Linked DNA regions of Drosophila melanogaster. The protein of the gene in region 3 interacts with the protein of the main gene of each other region in a pairwise test. Each region holds a gene or a part of one and is shown on either strand. Other genes may lie near its edges. The genes, in order: CG15576, CG15109, Atox1 and Lmpt.

Region 1 (3,045 bases), on a different chromosome or scaffold from region 3:
TGCTAGAAGGCTATAATGAAAGTCAAACACCCACTAAAGTTCCTATGGCTGCGCTCGAAATTTTCTTTGATTATGCAAATGTCACAGCTGAGAGGGCAAAATCTGTTTCAATTGGCATCCTGATTTGTCTACAATCTATGTATGTACGAATTTCAGAATAAATGCATTAAAATAGAAGCTTTCATTGAGAAGTTCATTTTAGGATGAAGTAAGTAAAATGAAGTGCTTATATTGGGGTCAAATTCATCTAGAATTGAAATGGCATGCTAGTCATTTCGGGGAATAGTTAACTAGTGCAGTTCAATCAACTTTCCGTGCGCTTTTCCCGTATGTTTGTCACGCCCCCATTAACCCCATGGAAAAAGTGACATGACAGACAGGAATCAGACTTGAGCTGGGGCTCAATCCATCACATCAGTGCGGAAGAGACCAGTCATCATCATCATCGTTGTCGTCAGTGCGCTTGTTCCCCTCTTGGCCACCATCGTTGCCCACTGACCACCATTGTCATCCCCGTATCCGAATATAATATAGAGTAGCGGAATTGTATCTTTATTACGATAATTGCTCATTGAACAGGAAATTATTATATGCGTCCGGGGCTCGGCATGTCCTCCAATTCCAAAGCCCATCAATTTTCTTGGGGAGATGGAAAAATCATCAACCCAGAACTCAACGGGGATATAATAATAGAACAACATGCGTCCGAACAGGGTCCGTTCTTCTCCAAGGGTTACTGGTTCAGGTGGCAATGAGAATGGAAGTGGTAGTGGATTGTGTTTGGGGTTTCGGGCCTTTTAGCTGATGATGACATTTTTCTTCTTTTTTGCGGACGACGCTCAGAAATGAAAAAAAGGACATCACACACGCACAGGAAGGGGAGAGGCAAAAGACAGTGATGGCAAGTGTGGTAAGAGAAGGTACAGATCCTAGGGGTTTGGTGGCAGTCCCCGCAATGGTGGATGATAGTCACCAGCGTAATTACCATAGCCACCGCCATCACAATCGCCCTCGCCAATCAAACCGCTTGGCATCGGAGGCTCCCTCCAGTTCCACACGCCGATACTATCGCCGCCTCCCATATTTAATTCCGTCCTCCGTCGATGTAGCATTACACGCATATTGATCATGAAACGATTCACATCCCGCTGATGATCGATGCGCAATTGAATCGGTGGAATTTGGGTGATTCGACGTTCATCAGTCGATGGCTGTATATTGCGCTCTTCTTCGCCCGGCACGCGATCCATATTCAAGCGAATGCGAAAACTCTGACCTGGATTTGGCCTAAATGGATTCATTTTGAATATTTTAAAGCTGTTCTTACTGAAATTTCGATCGAAACGTTCTGCTGCTGTTGGGGATTTCGAATAACTAATATTTTTCTGACACGGTAGCACACAATACCGATTGATAGAAATCTCAATGAGACCTGAGCATCTGAAATATGTGACAAGACAAATAAAGCTGAATTGTGGAATGGTATTATGTGAAATATTGTACAAGAGATAAGAGATAACCAAAAAATTTGGATAACTAATTCCGACATAATCCGACTGGGGGACTTCCGGTGAAATATCTATGCGATCTATGTGGCCCACAAGTACACATACTTGTGTACGCTCGATGCATATTTAATTAAACTTTCACCTACTCAAAGACGACAAAGAATCTTTGGCGAGGGCGACAGGAGACAAGTCCAGAACACTTTGGTCTCTCGCTTCAATCATTTTCATGGGGTGGATTGGATGCGCTAGTGGATGTCCTAGCTCGAGGACCTGTTACTCTCATCCTGGTTCCTGAAGTACTTAAAAGCAACACGACAAGCTTTAATTAAATCAGTTTTAATTAATGCAAAATGCGAAATTTCAAAAGACGTCGTTGAGCAAGCGCTTGGCTCAAATTGCCGACAACATGGAAAACAGAACACAGAGGCGGTGAGCTCCAAAGGACCCCAAAAAGGATCCGCATCCCCTCGAACGCAACGTTTTGTTGTCGCATAATTACAACTCAATTGTAATCCAATTTTGGCCAGGCATATAAATCCGATTCAGGCACAAAGTCACGCCCCCGGCCTGGTGTCTGTGTCAACTTTTTCGGTGTCAAATAAATAAACTTTTGACAGTCGGCAGACAGGCCAGCGGGGTTTTCCGAGCTCCAACTCCGCCCGAAAAAGCCCATCCGCACACCTTTCGCTTTTTGTGGCCACCACCGGAAATGGAAATTTGTTAACAATGGTGGGTGGATTGGGTTTGGTGGCATGTATCTGGGATGCCAAAATCAATGCCCCAACAGATGGATTAGATACAGACATCTGACCACGAGCTCATCCGTTCAACCCCGTCGAAGGCAGAACTCTTGATAACTGCAAATTAGTTGCACATGTTCCACATGGGCCACAACTCAAAACAAGACGTGTTTGCACTAATTTGGCCAAAATCAACAGCTGTGTGTACATGTGCTGCCATCTTCTGCTCGCTGTGTGAGTGAAGAAAACTCATCATAACTTTCTTATCAGAAACTTACTTCTTGCTCTTCAGATACCCAACAGAAGCGTTCCCAAAAAAATAAAATAAAATAAAAGAACGGGGGAACTAGCGAGATTCTGGGGCGAAAAACGAGAAGGAAAACAGAAAAATTGCCTAGAAAACTTGTTATAATTACACACTGGCACACACACACTGGCACACGTGCTGGATGGCCGTATGTGTATGAAAGTCGTGCACTTAAAGAAATAAAAGCGACTTCGTTATTAATGAAAATTGTCTATGTTTAAATATCATAAGATTTCATCAATGATTTAACTATGTTTGAATCGATTTTTTTGCGATTTTACAACCTCTATTTCATACCATTATTTTAACATGGTTCTGTCATCTATTTTCTCCATTTGTATGACTAACTTAGTGACTGCAGGGCAAGGAATTTGGAAGGGGAGACGTGGAGAGAGGGGGAGTACGAGGGCATGCATGAACAGGCAACATATGTTGGACTTTGGAGCAAACTTTTGCGAGTTTTCGGGGCGCCCTTCCACTATGCCCCTTG
Region 2 (4,087 bases), on a different chromosome or scaffold from region 3:
CCGGCACATTATGTGCCCCATTTAATGTCTATGTATGTGCAGCCAGTACACTTGCACATACTATGGCACACACTTACACGCCCAGTGAACGTCAAGTGGCAATTTACATTAGTTTTATTGTATACGAAATTAGCAGCATTTAGCAGTGGCAGCCGGCAAAACTTTTGCCTTTCGGCTCCGTTCGCTATGTCCCACCCCTACACCCATACACACACACACATGTATTGCTATAAATGGAGGATATATTCTCATCCGCAGTCAAGGGTTTGTATGTTAGATTTGTTTGCTCGTTTGGCTGCACTGTCGCACTCGGCATATCAATTTTCCCGCTCATCCACCTCTCCCCTCAGGACATTTCAAGGTAGGAAATCGATTTTGTTAATGAAAACGAAGGAGAACTTCAAGGAGAAGGCCACCCAGGGGATCGGGTGTCGATTGGAGCGTAAGTTTGATATTTGTTACGGGCGGAACAATGGCCATTCTGCTCGATGATGGCATTCCCGAAGGATTATATTGCAACTTTCGAGCTTGATTTTTTATATTCTTCCGCTGAACATAGTTATTATGATGTGTATTTAGTTTTTATTGTCTGTTTTTTGTATACAAAGTAAAAATGGTCTCGCCACTCCTTACATATGCAAGAAATATAAACATCTTCCAGTTGAAGCAACAAAAAATAAAAAAAAGAATGCGGAAAAACAAGTAACCTAAAATTTTTAAGAAACATTGTGACAGCTGCCCGTTTCAGGTTCACACTAGATGGCACTCGTTCACCAAAACGACATCATCTTCGACCACGTCGCCATTACGATTGGCATGGTGCTCATGGTGAATGGGACAGCTGACGATGAGCTCCTCCTTGGGTTCCATCTTCTGTGCCTCCTTCTTGGCCTTCTTCGTTAGTGCCTTATCCTTGATGCCCTTCTTTTTTTCCATCTCCAGCTCCAATTCTAGGTGATCGCCCAGCAGGTGATCGATGACATCGGGATTGTTGCGCAAAGCCAGATCCATGGCGCCATCAAGGAATTGATAGAGGGGTGAACTAACGTGACGCTGTGGCTCCTTTGGTGGTTCCAGCAAGAGATTTCCCTCGAAATTGGGCTGCAACAGCTGTTGCAGCATGTAGAGCATCGGTGGCACAGCCGGCGAGGATTTATGCTTGCGATGGTGCTTCAGTGGTGCTGCATTATGAAGTCCGCGTGGAGTGTTCTCGGCTGCATTCAGCAGTAGCACTCCGGCCAATTCCGGTGGCAGAACTTCCGGACCGTAGTTCAGCTCCTGCTGCACACTCTCAATCATCATGTTGGGCGCCAGCAGCTCGAACTCCTTTATCTCGTGCTTGCCATCTGGCGAAACCAGCTTGTTGTAGTACACGTAGGGATTGGAATTGGGATTGGGATTGGGATTAAGATTGGGATTAGGGTTGGGTGGCAATGAGGTGGCCATAGCAGCAGCTTCCACCGCTGGGCGACGCTTGTGGTGCAATTGTCGTGGCTGCAGACTGTCGTCCATCAGGCTACCCAAACGCCTCTTGGGACGGCGCAGTCCCAGCAGATCCTCCACTAGCTGAAATTTTCCGGCATCCGGAGGCGAGGATGTGGATGCCACAGCAGCAAGTGATGATGATAATGCGGTGGTGGTTGTGGAGCTAGTGGTTTTTCCACGAACTCCCATACTGCGCACCGGTCCAGCAGTAATCTTCTGCTCCGGAGATGTGGCGGCTTCAGTCATGTTAGCGGTGGTAATGGTACTATTGGCCAACACGGTGGCTTTTCCGCTCAGTGAAGCAGTATTGTCCATTGTAGTGGTTTCATTATAATCACTTGCAGTATCGCCTTGAGAACGCTTCATGCGCAGACAATCGCCGTACATCGGCCGCATCAACATGAGGACACCTTAAGCAAAACAATGGATGCGTTTGAAATACACGCAATTAATTATAAATAATTGCATGCTAGATGGTACTGAAAACTAACGTATACTTACACCCAAGGATCAGCAAGTAGTTCATCTTGTATTGCATGATAGGCAGCGCTGTGGAAGACAGTTGAGTTGAAAAAGTGAAAAGTGACCACAAATATTCTCAGAGTTGAATATTTATTGTAGATTTTTTTCCACCAGAATAGTTACAATTTGAACTTACTTTATTTGATTGGAGTGGGTTCTAGGTGTGCTCGGCACAAAGTTTGTACTGAAAATAATTCGAAATGCTTCCTGCCTCATGGCGAGGCTTTGACAGACAGCTGGGGACCTGGTAAAAGGTTACTGAGAGTACGAAAAAAAAAATCGAATTTCAATATTTTTCTGATGGGGATTTTCCACACACACTCACTTCCATTTGTGGCGACCTTTTCAAGTGCTGCAAATGGCAGCAATGGTACAAAAACAAAAAAAAAAGTAACAAAACACAACCGCGCACACCAAAAAAGTTTGTTTCGTGGGCCGCAAACAAAAGCAAACAGTGGAAAAAGTTTAGCTTATAAATTTCCAATCAATTTTTCGTGCAAAAATCAAGCGACCTCACACTCACACACAGGCACAAGCTCAAGTGTTCATACACGTAGTGTGTGCCTGCGTGTGAGTAGCTATTACTTGATTAATAAATATTAGCAGCAAAAATTGGAAAATTCTCAGCGAAGCGTAAAAGTGCAAACACCCAAACGGAAATGCGATACATTTGCGAAATGGCAGGAGCATTTTCCAAAACATCGATGCTTCTCTACGCACACAAGCACGCACACAGCACTACTCACCTACTCCATGTAACTTTTGATATAAAAGGTATATAAGAATTATCGAAGATATGAAATATAGGTTATGAATCTGCATGGATTGACTTATTGACTTAAACTATAATTTCCCATTTGTTCAAAATGTAACAACTATATCTTCTTTTGTGTTATATATCAAATGAATTTTGGTTACTTTCAAAAGGGTATTTCTTTCTCGATTCCCGTTTTTTTAGCCTAAAACTTGAACTTGTTTCTGCCGCCTTCGTCTTTAGGCATTAATAATGTAAAGTGCGTGCGTCAAATGTGAATTCCTTGCTGCCAACGCACGCGATTTCATAAACTGGCGACATTTTCAACAAACAATTCTCATCGCCGTCTTCGATGTGCTTGTGTGTGTGTGTGTGTGTGCGCCCTTCGAGGCGACTTGGCGCTCAGGTGGATTTTGGGGTGCAGGAGGCGGTAAACCAAGGGACCCCGAGGAGCAGGCACTTTTCCTTATCAGCTTAAATGTAAATGCCAAACGAGTGCACTGAAGGCGGGGAGGGGGGTCGAAAGGGGGCGTGGCTGAGCAGCAGCTGTTGCTGCATTGGGGATTTGCACATTTATACTCGCATATTGTAGCCCCACTCCTCGAAAACCCCGTTTTTCCGGTCCATCCTGCTGTCTCGTTTTCATCTTCTCGTTTTTTATCTGCCAAAGTTGATTTTTCGAGTGTATTGAATAAAAGTCGATTTTCCCCTTCTGGATTTGTGCGCGTTCGACAAGCGGCTTAAATGCGTACAGTTAATACATATCCTTTTTGCATATGTCTGCGTGTCTGGGGCTTATAAGCCAGTGTGTAAGTGGGTGTGCGTGCTCTTGCTTTGATGTGTGAGTCCGTTAAGGTCGTGGCTTATTAGGGGTCCGAAACCTTTGCCGCAGTGCATCAACGCGGCGGGATTTGCACGCAGACACTGCAAAAAGGCTCCCAAGACGATCCACTATAATTGGTAGCGAAAATCACGCATCCGCCGTGTGGGTCAAGTGGTGCTAGGGGAACTGGTCTAGCAATTGCTTTGATCTCGGGCGGAAAATCGGTGAGTGCGACTTTTATTAAATGTTTCCCTTTCGATTTGTTTCGGCGGAAAAGACTCCGGCTTTGTAAACTTTCATTAGTTGCCTCGTTAATATTCCAATTGTTGACACACAAAGGCGAAAGGTGGTGGAGGGGATGGCTGGCTTAACCTGTGTATAAAGGAATTTAATTAATAACGTCCTTCGTCCTTTTGCGTGTGCAGCGCGGCGTAAACTTAATTAAATGCGCAAGTGGCAAGTAGCAAGTAGCTGGGGCCACAGTGGCAAATGACAAGTGGAGA
Region 3 (3,913 bases):
CGCAGTCCCAGGTAGCCGGAACGAGATGAGACTTCGAACGTCCAGCTTTGAGCTCAATTAGTGCAGTCGCCTGGGCTCTTTGTGTGCTGTTGCATTCTTTGAATGCCGAGGTGGCATTTGATTGATAATTTCGTTACGCCTCGAACATGGCCCACAAAAAACCAAGGAAAGCAAGACACACGCGGAACTTGGAAAACCGAAAATAAAAATATATTGAATTTTATAAGTGTGGGTTCCAGAGAGCCGAGATTTATGACAAGTTCATGCTGCCCCTCCGATCGTTATAAGGCAATAATCAGCTCTTTGTCGCCGATTCGCTGGAACGCCAAACACCACAAGATGCTTAGTGCCCGCATCTGATTTTCGGATTAGGAACGACAATAAGACAATTTGGAAATGAAAACCATTTCCCTAACGGGATTTACTACATGATGCTCCAAAGTCGACCTGAAAATTGTAAAAGTAGCCAACACATTCCCAAAAAAAATAAGGATGCCAGCATTTAAGGTTAAAATGTATTTGTATATATTTGATATTTAAAATGGTAAAATTTGTAATATTACGATTAGTCATAAGAGGGCAACTGGCGTATATCATTTATTGGCAACTACGTTGGATTTACTTGAGTACCCCTAAATACGGCACCTGCATACTTAGGCAAAAAGTTGGCTGTACGATTTGATTAGTTAAATTTGAATTTAAAATTCTTCATCTAAGCATAAGTAATGCATAATATAATAACACCTCAATTGGTTAACTACGAGCTACATACAATTTGGGCAAGAGCAAATACTAAGGTAAAATTTGTATATGATTCCTATATTTGATTTGGTTAAGAGTAAAATTTGTATGTATCCCATGAATATCACTGAACAGCGACCCAAATCGAATGCTTTCGGAGCGGCAACGTGGAAGATATTTCAATCCTCTGGGGTCCACACCCTATACCTCAAGTTTCAGCCTGCCGTACTTCTGAAACTTGCTGAGGAACTCGTCTCATTTCTTCACCCCGACGTAGGTGGTGCTCTTGCCGGTCTTGCGCAGCTGCTCCATCAACTCGTCGGACGACAGGTTCGACGTCACGCTCACCGTCCGATCCTCCAGGTTAATGTTGACTTTCTCGACCTTATCTGCGGAAAGGCAAAACACATGGTTTAGTCGACGAGCGCCGAAAGTAAGGCAAATCGCTACTGATAAGGGCTAGGCTAAGTTGTTCCCACCACTTGAACGAACAATGCAAATTGTGGTTAAGCCCCTTATCATTATATGATTTTTTATGTTTAAGGCTTGTTCTGTGATCTTCAAACAAATTAACTGAACTTGTTGTTAAGTTTAATCAAGTTTTTTAGGTACCAATAACATTTTTAAAAGAGCACAAATTAATTAGAGCTTGGTTAGAAAGAAAGGGGAAACATGTTTTCGTTAATGAATTACAACTATTACTATTTATGCACATTAACCGACTTTACAGACACTTCAAATAGTTTCGAGGGATTAGATATCCCATTTCAGGGAGCTCATTGTTAATTAGTCACTATCCTATTATCCAGGATGTACTAATTAAAAATGTAACAAGTTGGTGCTTACATACATATATGTATGTATCATGTGTCGGGAATCAATGGCATTAAATAAGTTCACCCATTAGCACACACATAGGTTCATACATACATATACGTAAACGTAAGTTCCGACCGATAAGACACTAACTAACTTAGTACTTGGCACTAGTTCTACGTACCGCCCAGTTTGCCCAGGACTCGCTCCACGGCACTGGCACATCCGCCGCAGGTCATCTCCACCTTGAATTCGTGCACCTGGGGAGAGCGGGAAATGGGTTGGTAGAGAATGGGAATTTTAAAGGCTCTTCCAATCGATTTTAGACTGGACTCAGCCAGCGAAACCCACTGTCATCCTGCTGCTGCTGCTGCTGCTGTGACTTCTGGAGTCCGTCGTCTGCTTGTAGACTTGCGGTAGGTTGAACAGCTTGACGGCTTTCCTCGGCTACTCTCAGTTCCAAACGTGGCACTCAGAAACTCCCTTCGTTTTTTCAGCGAATTTCTTTGGTTTTTTTTATATTGGGCTGTTCAGAGTGACCGAGGGATCTGCCCTTTAAATATATCAAGTCCATACTACGCGTAAATAAAGCAAATGTTTATAGCAGTGTGGTGCAGCACTTTGATAACGGATCTAGCTGAGACCCAAACCAAATGGCGCTACCAGTGCTGCCCAGTTGGCGCCTTTATTCAAGACTCCAGGGACGTAGGTGAGCACCAGCATCAAGTACGACCCCGAATTTCTGTAGAATTATAATTAAGAAGCGAAACATACTCAATTGTTCCCTAATCTCACAGTGTTTTAAAAAGATTGCATTACTTTTAAACGTTCGCCCTCCTTGTAAGTTGCAAATTTATTGTCAAGAAATAGAAAGATAATATAAATGCACTTTAGCCAGTACTAACCCTATTGATTGCACTGCCAATTGAATTTTAGCGGCCTAATTTTGGGAGCATCAACTAAGTTGCTACACTCGCTTGGGACAAGAGCCAAAGCGGTAGACCACCTGGTGATCGTAAAGCTGGCCGGGATTGAGCACGACTGAGGGAAAGTCGCAGTGGTTCATGGCGTCCGGGTACTTCTGCGTCTCCAGGGTGAAGGCTCCCTGGCGGACATAGTTGACCCCATCCTTGCCCGCGATGGGGATGTCCGAGCCGTCCTCGCTCGGCAAATGGTTCGCCGTGCTGAACTGGAGGCCCGGCTGGTTGGTGTGCACCTCCATGAACCGGCCACTGCATGGGTGAACCACTCGGGCGACCAATTGCACCCGGTTTGGAGGAATGTCCACGCAGAAATGGTTGTCGAAGCCGCCCAGCGGACATGTGGACACCTGGTTGAGCCGCTTGCCCAGACTGACCAGGCTGGAGAAGTCGTACGGGGTGGTGCGCACGCGCATCAGCTTCCCGGTGGGCAGGAGCTCCTGGTCCACGTCCACTATCTTCTGGGCCTTGATCATCAGCATGTGCTGATAGAGCGTATCCCGGCCCGCGCCGTGTCCGGCCAAATTGAAGAAGCTGTGGTTCGAGATGTTCACCGCCGTGGTGGCCTTCGTCCGCGCCTCGATCCGCATCCCAAAGCAGCCCGTCTCGTTGAGCGAGAAGTTGATGTTGGTGGTCAGCTCGCCCGGATAGCCCTCGTGCCCATCTGGCGAGATGTGCTGCAGGGTGACACCGTCCTTGTGCACCCCTACCACGTCCCAGATGACGCTGTCGAAGCCCACGAACCCGCCGTTCTGGTGATGCCTATCCCGCAAGTTTCGACTCACACTGACCTCCTTGCCGCAGAGCTTGAAGCGCCCGTGTGCTGTACGATTGGCCACCCGGCCAATGGTGGCTCCAAAGAAGTATTGCTGGTTACGGTAGTAGCCTGCCACGTCGTCGTAGCCCAGGCACACGTCCTCCAGCTTTCCGTTGAAGTCGGGAACCTTCAAGGACTGGATTATGGCACCCATCGTCAGGATCGACACCGACATGCCGCGCTCTGTGACCAGCGTGAAGCGCCGGACACGGTCAGTCTTCTGCGTCATCGGGTTGACGGCGATGCCGAACATGTCTTCGATCACTCGCACCATCTTGGATCTCCTGATTTTTGCCAAATACCTAGAGGAGGATTACTAAAATTTTGTATTGCCTTACTGTGGCGACGGGCTTGAGAATTTCAAAGGGCTCGAACGCTTTATGTTCAGATCAAAGCCCACTGTGATGGGGGTTTCAAAACGTAAGCCGTTACATTTTGTAAATCGTAGTTATGCCTGCTAGTCAAGCTAAAAAATATTCGTAGTTTCGTTTGTTAGTAAGAATAACCGAGTACTCAGAAGAATTTAGAATTTAGCATGTTCTTAACGCAGGACTAAAAA
Region 4 (4,669 bases), 4.7 Mb from region 3:
CGCAAGCCAGGTGAACCACCCCTTGATTGCTCCTCTGCTGCGATAGAGGTTTGCAGCTTTTTGGGGGAAAGGTGAAGCGGAAAAGCAAGCGGAATGTGGGAGCAGTAGCAATATGAAAAGCAAAGAGGTAAAGCAGTTAGGACAGTTAGTTATGCGGCAGTGGTGTCTGCGATTGGTGGATTAGGTTGTGGTCGAAATTATTGGGTGAGAAATGATGCCAGGTGTCTGTGCTACGCACTTACATTGGATTTGTTGCTGTCGCTGGTATCCACTGCTTGCGGGTTGTCCTTCTCCGCTTCTTTGTCCTAACACACACATAATAAATCATTGATATAGATCCTCGGCTTGTAGATTCATTTACTCACCAACTGCTCCTTGGAAAGTTGTTGTTTTAGGGCAGCCACTGCCTGTTCGTTTTGTGCCTCAGTGGCCTCTTCAAAGGAGGACGATTTTGGCTCATTTGTAGCTTCTTCCTCCACATCCTCTCCCCTGGATGGTCTTTCTAGTTCGATTTCCTCCTCGTCTATGGAGAGCGCTTTTTCCCGCTTCCAAAACTCGGTATCCTTATAATGCTCCGGCACAACCTCACCCCAGGGATTTGTGCTCTCCTCACCGAGCATCTCTAAGGATGTGGTCGACTCTGCCGTTGGTCTAACATCCTTTGCTGGACTCCTTTTGTGACGTCGGTGGGATTTAACCCTCAGGGTAGGTTCGCTCGTATACTTGATGGGGTTATAGTCCTCTCGGTCGCCGTGGCGCAACTCCTCCTCCTCTAGCGAGGTGAACATCTTTAGTTCTTCGTCGCGGGAGGCTCGCGATTCCCGCGAGGAGTTCGAGCTTCCACTGGATCGTCGCTTCTTAAAAGCCCTTCTTCTCCCTGAACCATCCTCTCGCATCAAAGGACGATTCTTAATGCCATCTAGAGAACGAAGGTAGTCCTCGGTGTACTGGACTTCCTGTATCTGATCTTCTCCTTCAGGTTCTGGGCGTTCACTTTCGATTCTGTTGCCCTCATCAGAGGGCTGCGTGCTGAAGGACGACTGCTGGATGGAGAACGGAGTTTTGGGTTCAAGAGAGGATCCTTCATCCGATACGCCAGGGAAGGTGAGTGTTTTTGACTTTGCTGAGTAGGCGTCTTCAGGACCACTTCCTTGACCAAATTGAGTTTTCACTTTATGCACCATGGGTTCTTCTGGAGGCTCCTGAAACCTGGGTGGAGCCACTTTCTTCACACACAGCTCCTCCACCACGGGTTCCATGCCAGCATACTCGTCTGCCTCCTCTTTGCTGTGTGAGGCTTGAAGTTGGCGCTGTTGTAACATTACCATCTCCTCTTCTGCCTCAAGAAAGCGTCTGGCGTTTTCCTCAATCATTCGCTGTTTTTGCTCCAGATCAGTTCTGCTGGAGATCAGGCGACGCGACTGCTCTGCGATGGCAGCATCCTCCTCCAGTTCGCTCTCTGTAGCGCTTGGACTGAGCTCTCTTTCTGCTGCCAGAAGACGCTCTACGATCTCCGCATCCCTCAGTGCTTGCCCTTCTTCGTCAGCTTGATCGCGCTCTCGCTGAATCTCGGCATCAAAGAGACGACGCTCGGCTTGCGCTGCCTCGGCTTCAGCCAGGATCCTTTGTTGTTCGGCTCGCTCCTTTTCGGCTTCGGCCTGCTCTCTCTGACGCTCTGCCACGACGATTCTTCTTTCGCTTTCTTCTCGCTCGCGCTGCTCTTCAGCTTCTTGCAGTCTTCGCTCATTCTCCTCCCTTTCCCGTTCGGCATCTATCAGCCTTCTTTCGTTTTCTAGGCGTTCTTTCTCCTCGTTTTCGCGCTGTTTACGCTGATTTTCTTCTGCTTCTAGCTGTCTGCGTTCGGCTTCTCTTTGTTCCTGCAGTTCTTTCTCCGCCTGCTCTCTTTCGCGCTGTCTTTCCGCCTCTACGAGCTTTCTCTGCTGCTCCTCCGATTCCTCTTTCTCCCTCTGGACTCGTAGTCTTTCTTCTACCAGCTTGGCCTCGGCTTCGGCCAGCTGACGCCTCGTATCGGCTTCAATTTGCTGTTGACGTGCCAGTTCGGCTGCCAAAGCTTGTCTTTTATCTCCAGCAGGATCTACTCGTATTCCATTGACATATAGGACACCATCCTGCATGACATTGGTTCCTGCCAGGGCTTCCCTTTCCGCCGCCTCCTTGATCTGCTTATCCAATCGCTCTCGCATGCGAGGCAATTCTTCTGCGTCAGCTGCTGCATCTACAGAAGAATCGCCGGGATGTTGGAAAGTCCAGTGGTATAGATGGCGCGCCACAAAGGCGAATTCCAGGGCACCTAGGTATCCAATTAGCAGCGAGAATAGTAGCTCGCCGACGCCGGTTAGCGCCGTCTCCTCAGCGGCCATTGCGTAATGACCAGAATCGAAACGGAATCCGAATCCTCCAACGTTCGCCGATGCAATGAGAGTATGTGTCGACGAGAACCGAATCGGCTAACACGTATTATATAAAATATATTCACCACGCACTCGAAAATTCACACCACTCACGTTAATGGCCAGCCGATTAGGTAATTCGAAAAATATTTATTTCACTTTCGCTCACAAATCATTGAACCAATCATCGATATATATTCATTTATCTACGTTTTGAGACGATTTATGAGAGCGCGAAGCAAGAAGAATCGGAGATGGGCGGACTCGCCAGGCGGATGCAGTTGCTCGGGCGGCGAGCTCTTGTTTTCCGCTAATCGATCGTCTTGCAACTGATTAATGCCCCAGCCAATGCCCATGGGTCCCCCGATTTCTAGAGAACAAGTGAATCAGCGGCGAGAGAACCGCCAAGAACCGAATCCGTTCAAATGGCAAACGGCGCTAATTGACGGCCAGCGATGAGAGCAAAAGGCCTGTAGAGCTGACAAGACATCGCCGACTTTTGTCGCTGGCAATTTGGCAACACAAATGTATCTGCTTCTGTCCGCTGCCGTTGTTGCACTGCCTTGCCTCCGTGTCAAATGCCAAAGCAATCGGAATTGGCCAAAGCCGATTTTCTAATCAGTTTAGTCGACACCCCGCCGGCCGCGCCCCCTTTTCGTTTGGGGGGAACTATTTTTGGTCTATGCTTCGATTGCTGTTTTCCACAAAACACTTTTCGCCACTTTCTGCTTTGCTCGCCGTTTTCGTGCGGGAGAACAGTTAGCGACATGACCATAAATCGGATAGGGAAAATCAAATGCAACTGTCATTTCGATAACATAATGAAGAGTTTTTTAATCTCAAGCAAGTATCAAGATTTAGGGATCTTTTCTTTCCTATCCTTTTATTCAGGTTTAAAAATTCAATTTATCAAAATTAATCAGAAAATGTTTCTTTTGATATTTTAAAATAATAAAAAATCAAGTATTTTCTGAAAAACATGATCTTTCTATACTGCATACCACACATATTATTCAGACGCACAGTTGGCTGCAATAATATACAGAGCTAAGGTGCCAATTTCCATAAAAATGCTTAATTTGGCATTAATGGTCACATCGTATCTCCGATTTTAGAAAAAATAACATTTAAGAGTACAATGTTGAGATACAATTTTGTTTATAAAATGCCCAATTCTTTTGTTTATTTTGCCAATAAAATTTGGTATTCTCGAAAGTGGGAAAAATATATTTTAGCATTCGTAATTCTTATGGGCATGACTTTTACTGTTCCTGGTGTTTGCAAATCAGTTTTCTTTGGCATTGCCAGCGCCTGGGGCCAGGGTCGCCACGCCCCATTTCGCCGCCTCCGAGCGGATTGCACACAAATGTTTGCCATAAATTTCGTCTTGGCACTGACACTAACATTGCCAGCAGCTTTCAGAGGCTCTTTATCGCCGATTTCGCTGTGGTTCTCTTCTGCGTTTTCAGAATCAGTATAATTATTGTCAAACGCGGCATAATTGTGTTCTTTGCCCCACAAAGCCAAACTATTTTTGTATTCTTTTGTTTATTCTCATCATCTGATTGTCATTAGAAATTGTGGCAAAAATAGATAGATTTATATGAATAAATGGGTCATCTGGGCTCTGATATATTCATATGTTTATTTTGCTTTTCGCAACGAAAGCGAAAGTGTTTCTGATGGTAATTTAAATTTATTTTGAATAAATTTAAACATGGTTTTTTGTACAATAACACCGAAAGGCGACAGACAATGCAATTTCTTTATCCAACATTTTCTAATTAAAAATCGATCAACACGCATATAAAAAAAATTTATTTACTTGCATATTACACCCCCAATCTATTTAAAATCAAAATAAATGGATAAAGGATATTTTCAATCGAGCTAAAGCAGTTTGTGCACATCAATAACAAATTGCGAATACCTGCAGCAATTTTTAGCAATCTCTAACCTTAACCGAATGCCACAAATTTCCGGCTCACTCGCAATGAACTTCCGCTCGACGGATGACAACGCGTCAACAGCCAGTGCTGCCAATGAACTGCCTTCATTTCTTTGTTGCCATCGCCACTCGCGAGTCGCTGCATTTGCGGAGCTGGAGGATAGATATCCCCGGGATCCCCGACTCCCACAGGCAGCCAAGTGAAGTTCAATGAAAATGCCATAACCTTTGGAAAGGGCGATTGCCGCACCTATGCAATAAACGTGAACTGCGTGCGGCGGGCGATAAAAACCAGAGCCCGTGACAGCGA

What was found.
Region 1: the proteins of Atox1 (region 3) and CG15576 interact in a two-hybrid assay, tested with the Drosophila melanogaster proteins (one large-scale study listed by BioGRID).
Region 2: the proteins of Atox1 (region 3) and CG15109 interact in a two-hybrid assay, tested with the Drosophila melanogaster proteins (one large-scale study listed by BioGRID).
Region 4: the proteins of Atox1 (region 3) and Lmpt interact in a two-hybrid assay, tested with the Drosophila melanogaster proteins (one large-scale study listed by BioGRID).

The regions. Positions count from the first base shown.
Region 1 is NC_004354.4:4,251,338-4,254,382, forward strand, and holds CG15576 (uncharacterized protein), read right to left. Parts: upstream 1,454-3,045; 5' UTR 1,302-1,453; coding exon 930-1,301; 3' UTR 533-929; downstream 1-532.
Region 2 is NT_033778.4:19,057,543-19,061,629, reverse strand, and holds CG15109 (uncharacterized protein), read right to left. Parts: upstream 2,210-4,087; 5' UTR 2,144-2,209; intron 2,035-2,143; 5' UTR 2,012-2,034; coding exon 1,987-2,011; exon of another isoform or gene 1,896-1,986; coding exon 751-1,895; 3' UTR 565-750; downstream 1-564.
Region 3 is NT_037436.4:21,639,191-21,643,103, reverse strand, and holds Atox1 (antioxidant 1 copper chaperone), read right to left. Parts: upstream 2,110-3,913; 5' UTR 1,915-2,109; coding exon 1,909-1,914; intron 1,818-1,908; coding exon 1,742-1,817; intron 1,131-1,741; coding exon 997-1,130; coding exon of another isoform or gene 943-996; 3' UTR 505-942; downstream 1-504. Other genes in the region: CG32445 (uncharacterized protein), read right to left, coding at 2,525-3,628.
Region 4 is NT_037436.4:16,897,765-16,902,433, reverse strand, and holds the start of Lmpt (limpet), read right to left. Parts: upstream 3,020-4,669; 5' UTR 2,382-3,019; coding exon 366-2,381; intron 306-365; coding exon 243-305; intron 57-242; coding exon 1-56.